Alligator mississippiensis: one gene and its partners. The protein of the gene in region 1 binds, or shares a complex with, the protein of each later gene. Links are inferred from orthologs where the notes say so. Each region holds a gene or a part of one and is shown on either strand. Other genes may lie near its edges. The genes, in order: OS9, FAM8A1 and HERPUD1.

Evidence for each region.
Region 2: OS9 (region 1) and FAM8A1 share a complex: the UniProt entries of both Homo sapiens proteins name them as parts of the HRD1 complex. The link is inferred for Alligator mississippiensis from reciprocal best matches to the Homo sapiens genes OS9 and FAM8A1.
Region 3: OS9 (region 1) and HERPUD1 share a complex: the UniProt entries of both Homo sapiens proteins name them as parts of the HRD1 complex. The link is inferred for Alligator mississippiensis from reciprocal best matches to the Homo sapiens genes OS9 and HERPUD1.

Annotation. Positions count from the first base shown.
Region 1 is NC_081838.1:7,431,768-7,438,597, forward strand, and holds the start of OS9 (protein OS-9), read left to right. Parts: upstream 1-3,024; 5' UTR 3,025-3,061; coding exon 3,062-3,205; intron 3,206-4,528; coding exon 4,529-4,705; intron 4,706-4,917; coding exon 4,918-4,981; intron 4,982-5,262; coding exon 5,263-5,339; intron 5,340-5,600; coding exon 5,601-5,699; intron 5,700-6,111; coding exon 6,112-6,313; intron 6,314-6,407; coding exon 6,408-6,530; intron 6,531-6,818; coding exon 6,819-6,830. UniProt on the Homo sapiens protein: Lectin component of the HRD1 complex, which functions in endoplasmic reticulum (ER) quality control and ER-associated degradation (ERAD).
Region 2 is NC_081826.1:130,845,206-130,852,035, reverse strand, and holds the start of FAM8A1 (protein FAM8A1), read right to left. Parts: upstream 4,023-6,830; 5' UTR 4,008-4,022; coding exon 3,614-4,007; intron 1-3,613. UniProt on the Homo sapiens protein: Plays a role in the assembly of the HRD1 complex, a complex involved in the ubiquitin-proteasome-dependent process of ER-associated degradation (ERAD).
Region 3 is NC_081833.1:36,702,234-36,709,063, forward strand, and holds the start of HERPUD1 (homocysteine-responsive endoplasmic reticulum-resident ubiquitin-like domain member 1 protein), read left to right. Parts: upstream 1-2,226; 5' UTR 2,227-2,254; coding exon 2,255-2,386; intron 2,387-2,594; exon of another isoform or gene 2,595-2,830; coding exon of another isoform or gene 2,831-2,884; intron 2,885-3,000; coding exon 3,001-3,078; intron 3,079-3,166; coding exon 3,167-3,241; intron 3,242-5,036; coding exon 5,037-5,143; intron 5,144-5,860; coding exon 5,861-5,959; intron 5,960-6,830. UniProt on the Homo sapiens protein: Component of the endoplasmic reticulum quality control (ERQC) system also called ER-associated degradation (ERAD) involved in ubiquitin-dependent degradation of misfolded endoplasmic reticulum proteins.

The DNA of each region.
Region 1 (6,830 bases):
GGCACCTTCCCATGCCCCTTTGCCTCTGGATGAACCTAAGGGGGGCAGGTACCCAAGCGGGAGGCACCCAGATAACCCATGAAGCACCCCAGGGTGAATGCAACCAGAGAAGGGAGAGCCCCAAATGCCCCTCCCATGCTCCCCCTGCCTGGGCACGGATGGCGGCTGCCTTTGGGTGGTGCCCGGTGAATCCCCCCTTGTGTGTGTGTGTGTGTGGGGGGGGGGGAGCTCTGCTATTGTCTAGCTGCAATGCAAGGCTGGGGGGGGGGCAGGTAGGACCCAATCCAGGCCCTCCCCAGGGCTGCTACCACCCCTGCCCCCTGCCAGGCTTTGGGGAGGGGGAGGGCAGAGTACCCAGCAAGCCCCCCCCCCCCGATTCCACTATGTGTGTGTGTGTGGGGGGGGGGGGGTGCCAGGAGAGGGTACGGGGGGATCTGCTATTGTCTGGCTCCAGTGCAAGGCCGGGGGGGGGGGGGCAGGTAGGACCCAATCCAGCCCCCCCAGTGCTGCCACCCCTCCCTGCCCCATGCCAGGCATGTGGGGGGGGGGCAATACCGCAGCCCCCCGGCGCGCTGCCCGCGCCCTACCTGTGCCCTGCGGAGGGGCTCGCCCGGGCTCGCTCACATCCTCCCGGCGGGGCCCGGCGCGGGCGGGATGCAGGATGCGGGATGCGGGAGGGATGCAGGATGCGCGGCCCCGGCCGGGGACCGGCGGCGCCCCTGGCGGCCCCCGGCGGGACTGACTGCGGGTCCCCGCCCCCCCCAGCCCCTGCCTGGCTCCGGGGGTCCGGGGGGGGGGGCTTCCTGGGCTCAGACAAAGGGATCCCCGCACAAAGGGAGGAGGAGGGGCTATTTTGGGACACCCCCCCTTTGCCCCCCTGCTTGGCAGTGCCCAGGATCGGGGCCCCCCAGGAGCTCCCAGAGGGTGGGGAGGGGGGAGTCCACCCCGGGGGGTGGGGGGGCTGGGGTATTATTAGGTGCATTGCCCCCAGCCAGGGGTGCAGCGCCAGGCCCTGCACAGACAATATCCCCTGGGCGGGTGCTGAGCTGGGAGTGGGACCAGGTGTCCCGAGGGTCTGCGTGGCCCCTCTCTGTAGCTGGAGGTGGGGGGAGATATTGTCAGGACCCCCAAGTAGGGGCTCGTGTCAGCTCCCAGCTGGGGAGGACACAGCGGGATGCAGGGATGTGTAATGCAGCTGTCCCAAGTGGGGAAACTGAGGCATGCAGCAGGATGGGTGCCTGGAGGAGCAGGGCAGGGCAAGGCCCAGGGCTGAGACCTCCTAGGCTCCTTGCCAGGGATGGGGCTGATTCCCCTGCCCCGGGGGCCTCCCCTGCTCGCTCCCCTCCATCCACTCCCAGAGGCCCTGATCCACCGCAGTCTCATAACTAGCTGGGATTGAGCCCGGGTGTTTAAGCCGGGCAGGGTGCCAGGCGGGGCTTGGCAGGCCGCGGGCAGGCAAGAGCCGCAGGGGAGCCCGGGCCTGGATGCAGATGTTCTCCCCAGATAACAATCCCCCTCGTTGTGTCCGTGCCGAGTGGCCCTGGGGCTGGGCACAAAGGGGTTCATTGTGCTCCCGGGGGTGGGTGGCTGCTCCCTGGGCTGGGCCCAGGCTGTGCGGCGGGTGTCTCTGGAGTGGAGAACACCCGGCTTTAACCCTCCATGTATCCTCCTAGCATTGAACCGGGGGCCAGGCTTTGCTAATGCGGCTAGCTCTGGGGTGGACCAGCGGGAAGGAATTTCCCTTCCTATTGCTGAATGAAGGAGAAAGGGGAGCTCCCCTGGGCCTGGCCCGTGAGCCTTGGGGTACCCAGCTCAGCCACAGCTTTGGTGCCCAGCTGGTGCCCACAAATCTGGGGCCTGGGAAGCAGCAGGTGAGGGCATCACCCGGGCCCTGACCCTAACCGCATCTTCTATTCATTACATAGAAAAAAGCTTTTAATTTGCTGCTCCTAATGGATGGCTCTGACAGGAGCAGGGTTAGCTCCAGTTACCAGGCCGGCAGTGCGGAGCTGCTACATCCCTGAAGCCGGGTGGCCAGGCCAGGAGTGAGCACGTGGCCTCGGGCACTCTGGGATCCGCAGTGACCCCATGCCCAGGGCAAGGGGGTGGCGCTGGGTGTGGGTGGGGGGTTCCCCCCACGACCCGGAGGCCGATCCCAGGTGAGATGGGCCCTGGCCGGCCTTCGCCCTTCCTCTGGGTACAGCGGGCTGGGGCCATGGTGAGGTGTGCTCAGCAGGCCGTGTTTCCTCCCTGGTCTGGCTGCTTCTTTTTTTGGCATGCGAGCAAGCATGCAGTTGTGGAGGAAGTAACCAGCTGCCTCGCCTGGCCTCTGCCCAGCCTGTCCCAGGGTTGCTGCCCCCAGCGCCACCACCCCGGAGCAGGATCCCACCTCTGGGTCAGGTCAGAGGGCATTGGGGGGCCCAGAGACCCCCTCCCCATCTCAGCTGGTGGGCCACCCGCCCTAGGCTGGATTCAGGCCTGCCATCACCCCCCTACCCCAGGGCTGCTGCCCTAGCACCACTGCCCCGGAGCAGGATCCCACCCCTGAGTCAGGTCAGAGGGCATTGGGGGACCCAGAGACCCCCTCTCCATCTCAGCTGGTGGCCCCCCAGCCCCAGCCCCAGGCTGAATGCAAGCCGGCCATCGCCCTCTGCCCCAGGGCCCCGCCCACGTGCCTCGTCCCAGCCCTTGAGCACGGTGACAGCTCCTTTGGGTCATGTGATCTCGTTCAACCAATCCCCTCCTTCCCGCGGCCGCAGAGCGGCCGCCAGGGACTCGGCTCCCTGATGCCGCTGGCCCTTTAAAAGCGCTCAGAATCACGCCACTAGCTCCTCCTTGCCGCTGCGAGGGTAGACGCGGACCAATCCCAGCCTCCCGGGTGACAGTCCCTGTCCGGCCTCACGCGCTCTTAGCTGGCGGCCAATGAAAAAGCGGCAGCGGTGATTGGCAGGGAGAGAGACCCAATCGCACGGCGCTCCGCGGCGGCGCGGGAGAGGCGGCGCGAGGCCCTGCGGGGACGGGCGGAAGCAGCGGCGGCGGCGGGTAGGAGGGAGGGAGCAAGATGGCGGCGCGGTGGGTGCTGCTCCCGGCGTTGGCCTTGGCGCTGCTGGGCCCGGGCCGCGCCGGGGCCGCGCTCAACCTGCAGGAGCTCAGCGACCTCAAGTACGGCATCGAGATCGCGGCCGAGCCCGTGCTGGCCGGGCAGGTGGGACCAAGGGGCCGGGCTAGGGTTGTGGGGGAGGTGGGCGCCCCCCCCGGGACACGCCCCCCCCCCCCGTGTCAGACTGCCCGAGGGCCCCCCCCCCCGCTGTGCTCGGCGCTGGTGAGGCCGCAGCGGGAGGGCAGCGTCCAATTCTGGGCGCCGCGCTTCAACGTGGGCAAACCGGAGCGGGTGCAGAGAAGAGCCACCCGCCTGGTCGGGGACGCGCCAGGAGAGGCTGAGGGACCCGGGCGTCTGTAGCCCGAAGAAGAGACGGCCGAGGGGACCTGATAGCGGCTTGCCGCTCTCCGGGAGGAGGAGTGCGTGGGGAGCTGGGTGAACAGCTGTGCGCTAGGGCAGCGCGGGGAAGGGCAGGACCACTGGATACAAATTCCCGGCAGACCGCTTCAGGCTTAATTCCAGGGAAAACTTCACGGTCAGGGAGTCCCGACTGAGGAATAAGCTTCCTCCAGAGGTGATGCAGTCGCCTACCCTGGAGGCTTTCAAGAGGAGACTGGACCTGGTTGCGGTCTATCTAACTTCAGTCGTCTTCCTGCCTAGAGCGGGGGGGGGGGGGCTGGACCCGATGACCTGCTAGGTCCCTTCCAGCCCCTACCGTCTATGAAACCCTGGCACTCCCTGAGGGGGCTTCATCCTGACCTGGTCCCAGCACCTCCCATCACCCCGTCTCCCCTGTGCCCTGGGGTGGGGGCACCCATCACTAGCTGCTTCCCGAGCCCACCCTAGGTCTCACTAACCCCCCCACCTCGTGCCTCTGTTTCCCCACGTGCCGTGCCCCCTGTCCCTTACCTCCTGTTTGGCTGTGGCAGGGCAGGGCGCAAACCCCCAGCTGGGCTGGGCACCAACAGCGACTGTTGCTGGCGGCTCTGGCTGCCTGGGTCCGGATGGGGAAGCGCAGGGTAGAGAAGGTGAACTGTGCCTGGGTTTGGAGATAACGGTATCTTGCTGGCCCCTGCTTCCTCCTTCCTAAAGTCATCTGATCGCGGTGCTCTGTAGGCAAATCTTTCTAGAAAGCAGAAGCAAGACTTTTGAGGTTGCCGCGTCAGGTTTGGTGGCCGGCCTGTGCTCTGCCCCTGGAGCTTCACCCCAGAAGTGGCTGCACTTCTGGGCCGGGTTGTACAAGAGGGATGGGGGCAGCAGCATGGGAAGCCAGGGTTGCTGCATGAGGCTACGAGCAAACTGCTGATGAGGGTCATGGGTCAGATGGGCCAGGGAGGAGCCAATGGTGCCCTTTGCCCTGGTCCTGGTGCCGGTGGCTGGACACAGAGCCCAGGAGAACCCTGATGGCCCTGTATCCCACTCCCCCAGAGCCGGGCCGAGGACGTGGTGACCATCTCCTCCAAGTACAAGCAGAAGTACGAATGCCGCCTGCCGCCGGCTGCCATCAAGATCCACCGGGAGCCTGAAGATGACCCCCGGGGTTACAGCGGGCTGGGCATCATGGAGCTGCTGCGGCCCATGGGTGCTGCGCCCTGTCTCCGTAAGGTAAGGCACCTGCCTGCACCGGAGGCTGGACGTGGGATGGGAGGTGCCCACCACAAAGCCTGCTGGGGAGCGGGTGGGGGTCGCCCCCCCCCCCCTTTGCGCCCACTGGTTCGAGGCTCAGGCAGGCCGTGGCAGGCTCAGAGAGGGGGGTGGGTGATGTGTGACTGGAGGGGGCCCGGAGTCACACGTGTTACCCACCTTCCCTCCCCCAGACCAAGGACTGGTGGACATATGAGTTCTGCTACGGGAGGCACATCCAGCAGTACCACATTGAAGGTACCACGGGCCGGCCACACTCCTGCTAGGGTTATGTTGCCGGCCCAGCAACATGTATGTGCATACATGCGTGTGTCCCTGCCCTGTGTGGCCAGTTTCCACCCCTACACGCACTTTATTTAATGTTCCCCTTCCCTTGCCCAGATGGGATGAGGGATCCCCGAGTGTCATAACAGAGCTGAGCCTGGCTTGCCAATACCCGTGTCCCTGCATGCACGTGCATGCTGGTGCTGCACGCACGCAGGTGTGCGGGCTGTAACTGTTTGCCCTTGGCTCTGTAGAGTCGGAGATCAAGGGGGATGTCCTGTACCTGGGCTACTATCAATCTGCCTTTGACTGGGACAATGAGACTGCCAAGGTGCGGGGCATAGGGGGTTATGGGGGGGTGGGCTTCTGTGGGATGAGGGGAAGGCATCAGCAGGGGCTGGGCTCTTTGGGGCAAAGTGGGGGCTGGGGTCTCCTGTGGGCTTGGGGGGACTGGACAGGCTGGCTCGTGAGTGGCGGCAGGGCCTGGCTTTCTGGCAGCAGAACCTATGTACTTTCTATGGTTCTTCCGTGACCTGTGTGCCTCAGTTTCTCCACCTGAAGCAGGAAGTGACTTGTGGTTTCCCACCCCCAGGCCTCGAAGCAGCACCGTCTCAAGCGCTATCATAGCCAGACCTACGTCAACGGCTCCAAGTGTGACCTCAATGGTCGCGCCAGAGAGGCTGAGGTCCGGGTAAGGTGGGGAACAGCTGTGGGGGGTAGGGTCTGGCTTTTCACTGCCTGGCTGGTTGGCAGCGTCCTCCCCCAGTGCTGCTTTCCTGGCCTCTGGGGTGGGCATAGGGGTGGTGATTGGGTGGGGGGTGCTAATTAGCTGCCAGGAGTCATTACACCCTGCGAGGTGGGGGTATCTGGCTAGAAAAGGGCTCAGGGAGGCTCTGGCTGGGAAGGGGCTTGTGGGGGGCCTCTGGCTGGAGGGGAGGGGAGGGGTGGGCCAGGGAGCTCTGGGCAGGGGTTATCATTGGGGGTGAGGGGCTCTGGCTAGAGGAGGCATTGGGGGGGGGGGGGGGGCTGGGTGCTTTGTTGGGGGGGGTCCTGGGGGGTAGGGGGATCTGGCCACACTAATGTCCCCTGCACCTCCCCCCCAGTTCCTGTGCGAGGAGGGCTCGGGTGACTACATCGCGCGGGTGGATGAGCCACAGTCGTGCTCCTATGTGCTGACAGTGCACACGACCCGCATCTGCCACCACCCCTTCCTACGCCCACCCGCAGCTGCCACACCCCAGCCCATCCGCTGCCAGCCTGCGCTAAGCCCTGCCCAGTACCTCCAGTATGTCCAGGCCCAAGTCTGTGAGTATCCGGACTGGGGGAGGGGGGCAATACGGATGGCAGGGCCTGGTTGCCCCCCCACCCATGTGTGATCTCTGCCCTCGGCCTCCCTCAGCTGACACTAAGCGCAAGGTGGAGGAGATCTCGGAGGAGCTACGGACGCTGGACACACGGCTCTGGAGTGAGCAGGACCCCAGCCCGGCCAAGCCCCCACCCAGGGAAGACCCTTCCCTCGATGGTACGGCAGTCGGACTCCTGGGTTCCTCAGCTGTGTGGGATGGGGAAGAGCCTTGGCTTGTGTAGGCCACTTGGAGAGCATCCTTGGGTTGCAAATGGGGCGCTGCCCCTTTAAGGACACCCACACCCACCTGGAGGCACTCACTATGGTGGGGGGGCGGGGCAGGTTCTCTCCCTGAGTGGGGGTGGGAGGCTTGGCTGGAGGTGCCAGGTAGGGATGGGGCTGCAGCTGCGGGCACGGCCCCCCTACTCCCAGCGCCACGCTCAGCACTGCTCTGTCTGGTTCCAGGTGAGCCCTCTG
Region 2 (6,830 bases), on another chromosome or scaffold:
GCTGTTCTTGGGGCGGGTGGCAGCACAGAGAGGGACTACAGCAAATTCTGGGGTGGCTGCAGCCCTCACCCCATAGCCCTGCTCAGCACTGCCACTGCCTACCCCAAAGCACAGCCCACCCCAACCCCCTGCTGGGAAAAGCCTGGTGCCACCCTGGCCCCAGCCCACAGCAGCAGCCTGCCCTTGCCCCCTGCATAGATCCAGGGACGCCCCCCCATGCCCTCCTGGGGTGCACACAGTGGCGGGAGCCGTCCCCCTTCTCCACACCCCCTAGACAAGCTGCTTGTGGCTTCATCATGTCCTCCTCCCCAGCTGGACAGCCCCAGCCCCAGCCCCACTCCTTCCCTCACCATGGGGGCCTCGATCTGCCCCCCCCCCAACAACAGACTTACCAGCTGGATGCTTCTCTCCAAGCTGCCAGGCCGCATATTAGCAATTGGATCGTATCAGCTAATACAGCTCCTTAAAAATCAGTCATTGGTATCAGCCCAAAAAATCTCTGTTGGTGCACCCTTAGAAAAATCCTAGAAGGTATGCATTTTGCCAGTAGCATATACAGAATAACTTGCCTGAAACTAATGAGCATCCTCCTAATTGAATTCTATTTAAGGACACACACACACACACACACACACCTGACAAGATATTTTATCAATCCAATGCTTGCAATGGTTTTATGCATGAGTGTCCATCTGTTCTGAAGGAGCCAAGGATGGCATTTACTATCCTTTACCTACCACCCCACCCCCCAAAAACATTTCACCACGGTAACCTCATTTACAGAAAGAAAGCTGCACAAGGCTTCTACTGAAGCTGCACAAACGCTGCTGTAAATATGTGCTGCGCTGAAGGAGTTCCTTGAAGCCTAAGGTGCTCAGTCTTTTTTTGTCTGCTCTTTCTTTTAAAAAGGCTAGTTTGTGACAGGAGAGTGAATGGATAAGGGCACCTTCTTATTAACATATCCCCTTCTTTGCATCTTTCTGCTAGCTCACTTAAAATTTTCAATAGCAATGCAGAATATCAAAATGGATTCAATTCCCATTTATGGGAAAGCTGTCAATAAAATTCCCATCACAGATCGTTTATCTAATGGTGAAGAGAACCGGAACAACCCAGCTAAGTATTCTGATCCCAGCTTGGCTGTGCATAGCCACTAGTTACAAATCATAAAGTTCCAAAGTGAGGCTATTTATTCAGTACGAAACAAACTAAAGTATTATTGTGACTACAGTCACAATAAAATTACACTCAAATTTGATGCTACAGAGACTTACAACTAAATAAGGAGGAAGATATGCATCCCAAAGAGACAGGGAGAATTCACCTGAGACTTATCAGTGTCTCAACTTAGTCTATGGCAGTAGTTCTCAACTCAGGTGGCCCAAGGCCCCCTAAGGGGTGCCATGACAGTGTTCCAAGTACCTGCAGCACCTGCAAGCAATCCTGCCTGCATTGGGGGGCTCTCTGATCAGCCTAAAGTGGGAAGGAGAGCTGGTTTGTGCTACAGCCCTTCCCAGTCTACCCCCTGCATGCTCCTCCCAGAAACAAAGACAGGCAGGACACTTCCACTTGCCCAAAATGCCTCTGTTTCCAGGAGATGCCATGCAGAGTTGCACCAGGACACGCTGTAGCACAAGCCAGCTATCCTGTATGCTTCAGGCTGATCAGAGAGCCCTAATGCAGGTGCTGCGGCTTTCCCTGACTGCCTGTACACAGAGTATTCTTACTGCTGAGGTAGCAACTTTCAGTCTGGAGGAGCCATGCAGCATAACTGACTTCTGTATGAATCTCCATCTGTCACTGAAACATTAAAATAACTGCATAAACTCTAAACAGATACAATTAGCTCACCGTCTAAACAGGCATTGCTTAGAGACACATTAATTCAGATTTAATAAGGATTTTTTTTAATTGGTCAAAGATCACTATAGTGGCTTTCAGAAAAATAAAAGACTGCACAGCGTGTCTTTTAACTCTTCAATGTCCACCTCCCCCTTTCAACGCAGGAAGGTTTTTTCATGGTCCCTCTATGCCTCTTCTAAGCACTGTCCATACAAAACAGATTGCAATAGTTCAGTGGTTCTCAACTGGGGATGCCTCCACATTCAAAAAAGTTGTGGACAAGTGCCTCCAAAGAACTTGTGCCCAATTCTAAAACCACTAAGATTCATTCATCTATGGCGCAGACTCTATCATGGGACTGCTACTGCCTTAACTCGAGTTTTACACACCCGGTGTAGACACTAATCTGGCCCCATGGGGCCAGTCCACAGGCCAGGCAGAACCCACAGACCAGCCCCGCATTCTGGATCTGGAGTGGGTCCTGTGTGTAGCATGGCTCTGCTCCAGCAACTCCGGAGCTGTGCAGCATGGCCCTGGAGCTGAGCAGGTACGGGACTGCATGCAACGTGGCCCCAGAACCCCACAGTGCTGCGCTGCCCGCAGCACCTGCTCCAGGATATGAGCTGGAACAGGCCACCCAGTGTGCTCTGCACGCTGCCTGTCGGTCACTCCAAGCCCCATAGGCAGCACCAGGGGTCAGATGATAGCTCCACAGGCAGATCCAGCCTACAGGCTGTGTATTTGACACCCAAGGGTTCTGATAACACTTTGCTGGCAAAACTGAGTCCATGCTGGATAGCCAAAGTTATGCTGACTACAGGGTGCAATCTTCTTGTATCCCATGCCAAACAGCTACTGCACAAAGCTATTGATTTCCTACATTCACCCATCCGGACTGTACAATTAATTGTGCTACACACTCTCCTTTGAGGAGAGCTGCCTACACTGCAGTGGAAATGCTCTTCTCTCATCAGGAAAGCTGTTTTCCATCGCTATCCTCGGTGAGCAAAGAAACATTCCCATTCCACTGAAACGTATTAGCAGGCAGTCAATTCCCTAGTGTCCTTGGCATAGTGGCTTGATCTACTATTATCTGAAGATGTGCATGACTGTCCAAGAGTGATTTTACTAAACCTTGTTCATACCACATTCTGGGACAATTAACAGCATTTGTTCTTAAGTGATCTAAACTTCAGAGTACGACTTCCCTTATTCCTTTTAAACCAAGCGCATATCTGTTCAGAGCTCACAACTGGGGGGAAAAAGTAAAATCTGGAAGCAATTAGATTTCACTCATTTTCGCTGGTTTTGTCCCCTTGACCTGCCATGCAGGTCCAAAGAGAAATTACTGATCTGCAGCATGGGGGTCACTCTAGAACGGCGGGTGTTGCCTGTTCAAGACCCAAAGGAGCCCTGCAAAGATTCAGGGCCCCCTCAAAAATGCCAACTCACCATTTTTTGACTACAGAAAAGCACTAGAGCCGTTCCGGTGCTGCGCAGCAAAATGGTGCTGACACCAGGGACGCCTGGCAGAAATCTCCAGGTCCGTCTTGTGACTCACGTGCATGGCGCTAACAGCGCACGGCACCCCCGCAAGGACCTCAGGGCAGCGTGGGGCAGAGCAGACAATCCCTGCTCTGGGCCGCTCAGCTTCCTGGGGTGCGCTCTGCCCCCTGGGGCCTGCTCCAAGGGCCCCCTCATTGTGATCTACTAGGCTGGGGGCTGACAGAAGTGCGCAGGGGCGGTCCCGTCCACCCGAGGCGCGGCTCACCTGCCGGGCGGGCGCTATCGCGCGGGGCGCTGCTGGCGCGGGGCGGGGCGGCGGGGCCGGGCCGGGGCAGCGGGGTGAGGCGGGCCGGGCCAGGCGCTGGCAGCACGTAGAAGGGGCTGTAGTAGGCGGCGGCGGCAGCGGCGGCTGCGGCGGGGCCCGCGCTGCAGGGCGCGGTGCCCGCGGCGGCAGCGGCGGCGGCCATGAGGGCGGGCAGGCCGCTGTGCCAGCTCACGTAGCCGCAGTACGAGTCCCACAGCCACTGGTGCACGCGCCGCGCGTACTCCGCCGCGCTCGGGGGCGGCGGCGGGCCTGTGCCCGGGCTGCTCCCCGCGCCCCCTTCCTCCTCCACCTCAGCCCCTGCCGCGGCCATGGCCGCGGGCTCCGGCTCCGCCATGGCCCCCGTCCGCTCCCTCCACACGCCCCTCCTCCACTGCGCATGCGCAGGCCGACAACCTCGCTCCGCTTCACCCACCTGCCAGGTGGGAGGGGGTAAGAGCAGGAGCGACCAACTGAGTGAGGAGGTGCGGGGGGAGGCAACACCGCTCCAGCGCGAGAGGATATCGCCCCCCGCCCCCACGGATACGGTATCGTCCTGTCACGCCAGCCCGAGGCTGGATGGAGCACAAGCAGTGGCGGGGAGGAGCTAGGCCGCGGGGGGCGGGGCTTCCGTTGCCAGGACGATCGGTGTGGCGCAGCTCGGTTCGTGGCACGGTGACGCCCTTGCTTCAGGGCTGCTGTCATGGCAACCGGCCCGGGGTTACCAAATATGGGCGGGGGAGGGGCGGGCGGCAGCTTGCAACCCATGCTGCCTCAGGTGGCGCTCGTCTGCCCAGAGTTTGATTTGCATGTCTCCCCTGGCGGGTAATACCGTAGCAGGCCAAGGGGTAATCCCGCAGTGCCATACTTGGAGTAATCCTGTTGTACCACAAGGCCATGCTCAGTGGTAATGGCTTCATTACCCACAGGCTTCCTGCCTGAGGAGGGGTTGGGAGTCCACCCTTGGGGATCTTTCCAAACACCCTGCAGGTGGCCTTGGAGAGCCCCAGTGGCTGCGTCACTACATGGAGGTTTTGATTCTCCAGCCAAATTTGCAAATATGTGAAGCTGGCAGGGGCACGCTGAAGGCCACTCACTTGCCCTGGGGGATGGAGCGCTGCTGGGCAGATGCTCACAGACCCTCCGGGTGTGCTGTGATCCACTTGAGGCTCAGGCACTGAGGGGTCCTGACGCTCTTCTCTGGAGCCTCCGCTGCTTCCAAGGAGCTGTAGCCGGTGGGTGAGGTCTGCTAGGTGAAAAGGGACTACAGGATCACATCACTAGGGTGGTTTGACCATAGCCCTTTAGACAGCCCCTTCCCTTCCAAGAATTTGCACTTCTTCTTCTTCCTGCCCTTTTCCCTCGGTGCTTCCCCAGTCACAGGAGACTTGTCACTCCCTGACTTGCCCATGTTGGCCCTTCACTCCAAACCAGATTGAACTCCTGCTCCTTTGAGGTTGACGTTTGGATCCTCTCTGCTGTTCTCTGCCTTTCTCCTACCTATGGGGTCTCTTTATCCTTGTCAATGCCCAGGAAAGGATCTATTCCCCAGCTCTGCATTACCAATATATCTCACGCTACATTTACTCTAATGACATCCAGTGTTCCTATCGACACTGGCTGTGCACCATGCCTTATCCATCCTGGCTCTGAAGGAGACCCTGCATCAGGAACCATTTGGTGGCTTCAGGTTCACAGTTGAGGAAAAACTGGTCTGAATCAGAGATACGAAACACACACAGGGTTAAAACACAAACATTTCTTATCCTGTCCAATTCAGAGTGTTGCCTCTGGACCATGCCCAGCTCCTTCCTGCTACATGCGGAGCTGGTAGGAAAGGTTACTCTCAAGGCAGGTCTTCTGTGGATGCAGAATTAGTCTTTACCTGTTTCTGACCTGCAGGACCTGGGCCTGAAATCAGAAGAGACCCTCGCTTCCTTGCCACCTCCACAAGGATGTGAGGTTCAGGGTGGTTTGTCCATTTACCCAAGCCTTACCTGCTCCCCCTCAGCTGAGTGATCTCTAGGACAAATCCTCCTCTGGACTGGCTTTGTTGTCCTTCTCCAGCTGCTGTCAGGCAATCACTATGAGGAACCAAAAGTGCCATGAAGTCTCACAAGTTTGCATGAAAAACTCAAGCACCCTGAGCCTGATTTAAACAGGGAAATGAATCCTGAAGTGAGGTGAGGAAGGATCTCATGTAAGCAGTACGCCTGTGTGTCAAGTGATGGAAATAGGCTACATGCTCAGGGGCGAGGCTGAGGTTGTGAAAACGTGGAGGAAAGAGGAGGAGGATTTTCTACGACAACCTCCATCATTTGGAGCTGTGACCCCTGTCGCTTAAGGTGTTCTCCTCGCCTGGTGCACACACTTGGCTGTCCTGTTTTTTTTTAAACAGGCCTGGAAAGCTCCGGTCCTGGTTCCTGCAGACCAAGGAAATGGAAACAGACTTTCTGCGGGGGCCACCTAGGCTGAGCATGGCTTGGTGATCCTCTTGCCTGGCTTTAAAAGCAACTAAAAAAAGGAGTAGGAAAAGGGACCAGCCAGTTGTCCAGGCCTTTCTTAAACTGTGATGTAAGGGGTGTTTTGCTGAGTAAAAACTGCAAGATGAGGTCCCAGTAAACCCCAAGGCCCCATGAGACTGTGAAGTTGGTGGAAATGTCATCAAGTCAGGTCATGGGGAACTGGTGCTGTCTTAGTCGGGGGGACACGTGCCCCCCTGCAACCAGTCTCGCAGCACAGGGTGTGGGGGTCCCCCCTGCAGCCAATATCGCTGCCCGGAGGGAAATCCCCCGTGGCCGATCGCTGCAGCCACTTCTGGGAGCAGCTGCAGTGATCGGTCACCGTGTGCAGGGGGGGCACTGTCACTCCTGCCTGCCCCCCTGCCCATCACTTAAGCAGTGAGCGCAGCCATCCAGGGTCTGCACCGGTGCAAACAGACCCCCTACACATTGCCACTGAGTCAGGTGAGGTGTCCCGGGGACCCGGCGCCCAGGAGCAGTCCAGCGCTGGGTCCCATGTGTCAGTGAAGTCTGACGCAGACATTCGAGGTTGGCAAGACGCCTCCTCCCTGGGATCCTTGTGCGCCGAGGTGGCAGGGCAGGAGAGGGGCAGCATCCCTAAGGTCCCGCTCACCTGTCCCTGCCCAGACACGGGGCGGCCGTCAGCACTGCTCCAGCCG
Region 3 (6,830 bases), on another chromosome or scaffold:
CAGAACAAGGAGGCTGTCCTGGTTTTTTTTAGAAATGAATGCTCTTCACCTCAAAAATAAGAAAGGAGTTAAGTAACTGTGACTGTGGTTATATCCAGGGCCTGTTAGAGGAGAGCCATTAGCAACTGAACCTCTGTTTCCAGGGGACCTCAAGGCAGTCCTGGGTTCTAAACTTAATGCTAATTAATTGTTGCACTCCCAGTTTTAATTCCTAGTGCTGTGGAAAATCAGAAGAGAATTCCCTTTCTGACCAACCTCTGAAGAAGCAAATAGCTACACAGCATAGGTGATCCCTGTCATTGAGGCCAATAGCATTGCCTTCATGAACTAGCCTGTTCAAAACAAAAGCAGCTTCTAATACACATGTGGATCAGTTGAGAAAACCTAACAGAATACAGGTGATCAGGTCTTAAGCACTTCTATTGATATCTGTGGGAGCTGCCCAACAGCCAAAAGTGCTCAGATACAATGAAAACACAAGCACCTAGAGAGATGGGTAGGTAGCTGGCTATTTAATTTGTGCATAAGAGTCCTATAACTATGTTCCCTTGAGAATGGTCTATAACTGCTTTGAGCCATTCTATTGTGTTCTGATGCTTTCTATACTGAATTGCCTGGTTCCAGGATAAAAATATAAAGGATGGAACTCAGGAACATGGATAATTTACATCTGATTAATATGGATATGCTCCTGCATGAGAAAACTGAACAAGGATAAGGAATAAGAATGACTCTGTGCTCAGTAGATTCACACCAAGGATGCTTTCTTGATTTTTTTATTGGTAGGAATGCCTCCTGCCAGTATGATCCATTCTTTGCTTTCTTTATCATTGACAGTATGTTCTTTTCTGTTTGTAAACTTGGGTAAAATTTTCAACAGCCCTGCAGTTATATTTTTAAGAGAAGAAAGAGCCTAAATTTCACTGAAAGACATTGAGAATTAAGCACTTAAGTGCCTACAGCATTTTTGAAAGTGTAACTCAGGCTACAGACACTTCTGAAAATGTGATTTATTCTGTTTAAAGTTACAGATGAATAAAAAGAAATATGAACTGACAACTGATTGTTTGCTTGCTATGAAGGGCTGCTGTATTGCTACACAGGGCTCCAGTAAAAGCTCAAGATTTCTACTCCATAGCAATTGGGATACTTCTTTTTCTAAAAGGAATATCTTGCATTTACTACAGGTCCACGGAAGCTGAATAATTAGTATTTAGTGTTAAAGGCTAACTCAAGACTTATAACATTCTGTTATCACCAAACACTGTCTGTAAGAACAGATATAAAAATTAACTGTGCCTTAAACAGGAAACAGTTCTGAAATGGAATATCACCTGTTGTCTTTGATTTAACAATATAAGAGTTTCAATACAATTTCAGAAAGTGTTTCCATATTCCTAATATAAGAAAGCTTATTAATGGGTGGGGGGGGTGTCTCACACTGATGTACAGATCCGATCTGATCTGTTCTTTGGAGGGGCGATTTTTCTCAACTTGTAATATATCCAACCTGGAAGCAGTCAGAGCCTTGTTCAGCTATTTTTCAGGGTCAGAGCATATTGGAGACAGCTAATCTTTGCCTCTGAATTTTCAGGATTCCCTTTGCAACTATTTATTCGTTTTCCCATTGTCTCTTGTCTTAGCCTACCATCTTTGAACAAGGGTGGTCTCTTTATGTTCACACAATACGTATTCCAACGGGACACATATCGTGGTGCTACGGCCATACTCAATTAGATCATTAGTAGAGAAATAATTTACTTAGAACCCAATTCTTTTCTCCCAGCTATTTGACTTCTAATTGTATTACTATAGTCTTATAATTCAGTGTCACAGAGCCAGGGGCTGAGCGATCAGGCCCTTTTGTGCTTAGACCCACTGCTCCAAAGCATTTCCCTCTCAGCTGCCGGGGGCTGCGAAGCAGGAAACCCCACACTTTGCAGCCGCCCGATCCCGTGCCTGCTCCTGAGGAAACAAGCTAGGAGCGGCACGGCGCTGCCCCAGCCCGGGACACCCCGCACAGCACCCCCCGCTCCCGCCCCGCCACCTCCTGCCTCCTGACACGGGTCAGCCCCGCCCCTGTCACTCTGTAGCCGGATGTCGCTTCTGATAGGCCATCTAGTGACACGCTCTCTTTCCGCGGCCAATCAGTGGCAGCCACCGCGTCCCGGCTGGCGCAGGGGGCGGGGCGCGAGGCGGCGAGGAGATAAAAGGCGGCGCCACGGGGAGCGCGGGCGCGAGGCGGAGAGCGGCCATGGAGGAACCTGCGTCGTTGCTGGTGCGGAGCCCCGCGGGGCGGCACCCGGACCTGAGCCTGCGCGCCGAGCCCGCCGGCACCGTGCGGCAGCTCAAGGCCCGGCTGCGCCGCCTGCTTCCCGAGGCGCCGGTGAGGGAGGGAGGGGCCGGGGCCGGGGCCGGGGCCGGGCGGCCCCGGTTACTTGAAGTGCTGCAGCGGGTTTTCCTGGGGTTTGTGGAGGTTTGAGCCGGGCGTGGCGGGGCGCCGGCTCGTCCGTGTGGCCGAGGGGTGTCGGTGCTCAGCAGGGGAGGACTTTGGGCGTTGAAGCCTGTGCGTCCGTGCTGGGCTTCTGGGAAAGGGGCGGGCAGAAGACAAGGTGCGAATCCCTTTGCTGCGGCTGGGAAAGCTGCGGGCACACGGGATCCCTCTGCTCCTCAGACGGAAGAGAAAGTCCTCCTGTCAGGTTTCTGGCCCACCCGATGGACGGACAACTCATTCCTGTTTTGTAGGAGTTGCTATGTTTCTGTGCGAGTTTCTGAATCTCTGACATCAATTTTGCACATAAATAATCAGCGGGTTTGGTTGCATCATCCCATGCTAAAAACAAAAGAGAATTGTGTTCAAAGGATTTGGATGTATTTATGCTGGGTGTGTTTTTTGTTGTTTCTTTTTTGGTATGCCAGCTGCTGTCATGCCTGGCTGCTCAGCATTTGCATGCATTTGAGAGAATAGTAACCCAACATATTTTTTGTCTTCTTTCAAAGCCTGAAGAGGACCAGAAGTTGATTTATTTGGGGAAGTTGCTGCCTGATCATCTTTATCTGAGAGATGTATTGCCTATGGTATGGCAATTGCTTGCTTCTGATAGTTGCACAAATTAAATGACATAGGAATATGTTATCGTTTTAATGCCTTGATTTCTGTTTTTAGCAGGAGAAGTTGTGTGTTCTTCACCTGGTGTACAACTCTAAGAGCCATTTAGAAGTGCAAGAAACCAGTTCAATGGTATGTTAAATTAATACATCAGTCTACTTTTGCTTTTCTGGGTGTGGACACACTCTGCAAATTTGGGATTTATGACTTCAAAGCAGAATTATTTCTGAAAAAAGGTTGACCCACGTCATGTAAATGCAGGGGCAGCATTGCTTCATAGGGTAGCTGTTATGCTAGTACTAGGGGTGAGACAACAGCTACATATTTGGAGTAAGCATTTGTAATGGCTTGTTTTGGAGCTGAAACATCTTGAACCAGGTTACGGCCATTGCATGTTGTGTCCAGCCTGGTTAGTGGTCTGTCTTGACCTGGTGGTCAGGGTAATACTTGACCTACTGACGAGGAAAGACATTTAGTACCGTACAACTGTTGTAGTTCCTCTTTCCCTGGTTGAGCCAGTGAGCTTGGTCATGAGGGCTGTGCTGTTTGCAAAGGGAGCGGTTGTCTTGAATGTGTATGTTTTCCATGATAATCAAGTCTCATTCGTATAAAGAAAGAGAATCTGTCAACAATTAAATGGGGTGGCATCTTTTAGGCTCTTCCTGGATTGTTGCCCAAATATTCATCAGTAATAAAACTTAAAAAGCCTCTGGAGGAAGAAACTGGAAATAAACCAAACTTAATACACTTTTTTTTTTTTTAAGTGTGCTTAAACTATGACACAGATCTCAGTTTCTGTATGAGGGTTTGCTGGTGTGATTAACACTAGCGATTTATAATCTCAAAGGCAAAAAAATTACATCCTTGAAGTCATGAGCAAACAATAGACTGTTTTTGTTTTTGTGTCATCTGTGGCAGAAAACAACTGAAAAAGATGTGGCTTTGTATTTGATAAACATGTATTGTCCTAGCACTTCAAGGCAACTTGCATCGCCATCACCCCATGCTGGTAGCCTCTGTCTAGTATTTGAGACAGCATTTATCAAATGGCAAATTGATACACACTTTAAAAAATTGAACCTTTTAAAATTAAGACAAGCAATTATTTTTTGTTTTTAAATGTGATCGGGGAAGGCTTTGTAAAAACTGATCTTGTGATCTTTCTGCTTTTACTTACAGTTAGCATTCGTTGGCTAAATCTGTTCATCATATGCTTTAGAGGCTGTTACACTTTACATGTAGTGACCTAAACTATAGTATTATAAAGCCTTCATACTGCTGTGGCTCTGCCTGTACTAGACAGGTTATTGCTTTAATTATGCTAGTATATGTAACCACTAGCATATTGCTTTAACCAGTATAGTTAAAGCAGTAAAACTTCCAAATATATACAAGCACAAAGATTTTATACCATAATGTAACTTTGCAACATCTACTGAGAGGAGCTGTAGTTCTTCATCGCTTCCTGTTGGAACAGGACTTAAAACATGTCATGTGTTTAAAAAAAAAAATAAAAAGTTTGGTTTCCCAGAATGGTGGAACTGCTGCTATTATGAGTGCTTTTTACTCCGTTTTCTGCACTATGGCCTTAAGCTCCTACATATTTAAAGAGTTCACTTTCTCAAAACAAATGACACTATTGCCATTGTTCCATATGCAGGCCACCTCTCAAGGTGTTTTAGGAACAAAACAATTCTAGAAATATTGTTTGTTTTGATTGTGGTTCATAATTGATATGGCAGTAGCTTCCAAAGGCCCTGTTCAGGACTGGCGCTCTCTGCAAGGCACATGCGCGCACAGTTCCAGTGAAATATTTTGGGGAATGTGTTATTTTAAGATAAAATATCTGATTCAAAGGTAAGATAATTTTCATTCATTGTCTTGAGCCAACCACTACTAACTGTTGCTTTACATTGAAACTAAACAGCCAAAAGCATTGTCAGAAATTGGTCAAGATCCTTCTGTAGCTTCAACTGATGGGGCAAGACACAGGGATGCTCCCTGCAACCAACCTACAGTGGAAACCAATACAAGGTAAATGTGCTTCATATGAAGACATGCCTTCTAAAATGCTGAGATATAAAGTTATACGTCTGTTTCTGAACAGACTCTTGGATGTCAGCACCTTAAGCTACTGCTTTGGAACTTTTAAGTGGGTGGGTGCCAAAGAGGTTAAAACATTGTTCCCTCTTGAGTTGGATGTTACTGTCCTTTCTTGTTAGATATGGAAAAATAGAAATGCTTTTTATAATGTTTTCACAGAAGCATAAACCTGGTATCCACTGCACTCCAGTACTTGACTGAGCCTCTGAAGTTTAGATTGAGCGCTTGCTTTTTTCTTCTAGTCCTTACATATTCCCATTTCATTTAAAAAGAGCTTGAGTGGGAAAAATAGCTTAATATCTAATAATGTCATCAAAAAGGTGGTACTTTTCCTTTTTAGAAGTCTCTTTCCCCCCCCCCCCCACTTTCTCCTTTTAATTTCGCAATAGTACAGTTTAGGGCTGAAATTTTAGATTTCTGCCTTCAGCTTTTTAATGTTAAGTACAGTCTTTTAAGCCCAGATTAATTTAAAACATATTGGAAGTGTGTGCCATATGCTGCTTTACCTATCAGCAAGACAATGGCAAAAGCAGCTTGCATGTATCTTCAGTATTGTAAGTAGAAGTGGTGGGAAAGACAGTCCTGGGTTGTTTGTTTGGTGTTTTGTTTTGTTTTTTAACTAATTTTTTATTAAACTTTTTGAATAAGGATTGAAACAGCTCGTGGCTTCTCTGCCTATACTACTTACAGCATGCTTCAGATTTCTTGGTTTCAGCAGATTTATGCAAGACAGTACTACATGCAATAGTAAGTTTTCTTTCCTTTTGCAGAACTAGCTTTGAAATATTAAAAACTGGTTAGAATAGTAATTTTCAGCCACAGGGCTGGGGCACTCTGGTATGTCTGTCTTTTCAAGAGTGCTGCAGTTAAGTGTACAAACATGTTTCACATGATATACCCACAGACTTCAAATAAAAATCCTTCATGTCAAACACGTTTTGCCCTGTAGTGATCTTTCTTAGTTTTGTGTAATGTGGGAATTGTTCTGTTGGCAAAAAACAAGTGAAAATGTAAGCTGGCACTTCTGAGAGGGGTCTTTAAATCTAAAGGTTGAGAACCAGTTGGTTAGAAAGATACTAGTGCTGTTTCTCCCCCAGTTGACAGGCATCTTCCTTATCTGTGGCAAATCAAATGTCTGATGTAGCTATAAACACCAGATGCCATTTGGTTTAGTCATGCTTATTGCTTTTTGTCTAAATAAAAGTTAAAATTTGCAACCATTTATAGTGGTGTTGAGCCTATTGGAGGGGTACATCTAAAGATCTTTACCACTTTTACCGGACTTGGTCTATTGCTGAGGAAATAAGCCCCACCTGTTGGGGGCTAACTGAAAACTTGCAAATAAGCTATATAAACTGTGAGGCTTACCTGCAGAGCCTGAAGGGAATTGTGGGGAGGGAGGCTCTTGAGCACTTCAGCTGTTTATGAGCAGTTCTCACAACAGTAGAGTACTGAAATTGAAACTGAGTACAGAGTGCTAAAGATGGTGACATTTGCGTCAATTTTGACTTGCCAAAAGCCACACAGCCAATCACTAGCAGATCTAATGCTAGCTTTGTGTCACCTGATCTGATCACAAACCTGTGGCTTCAGAATTAAATGTGTGATGATTTCTTCA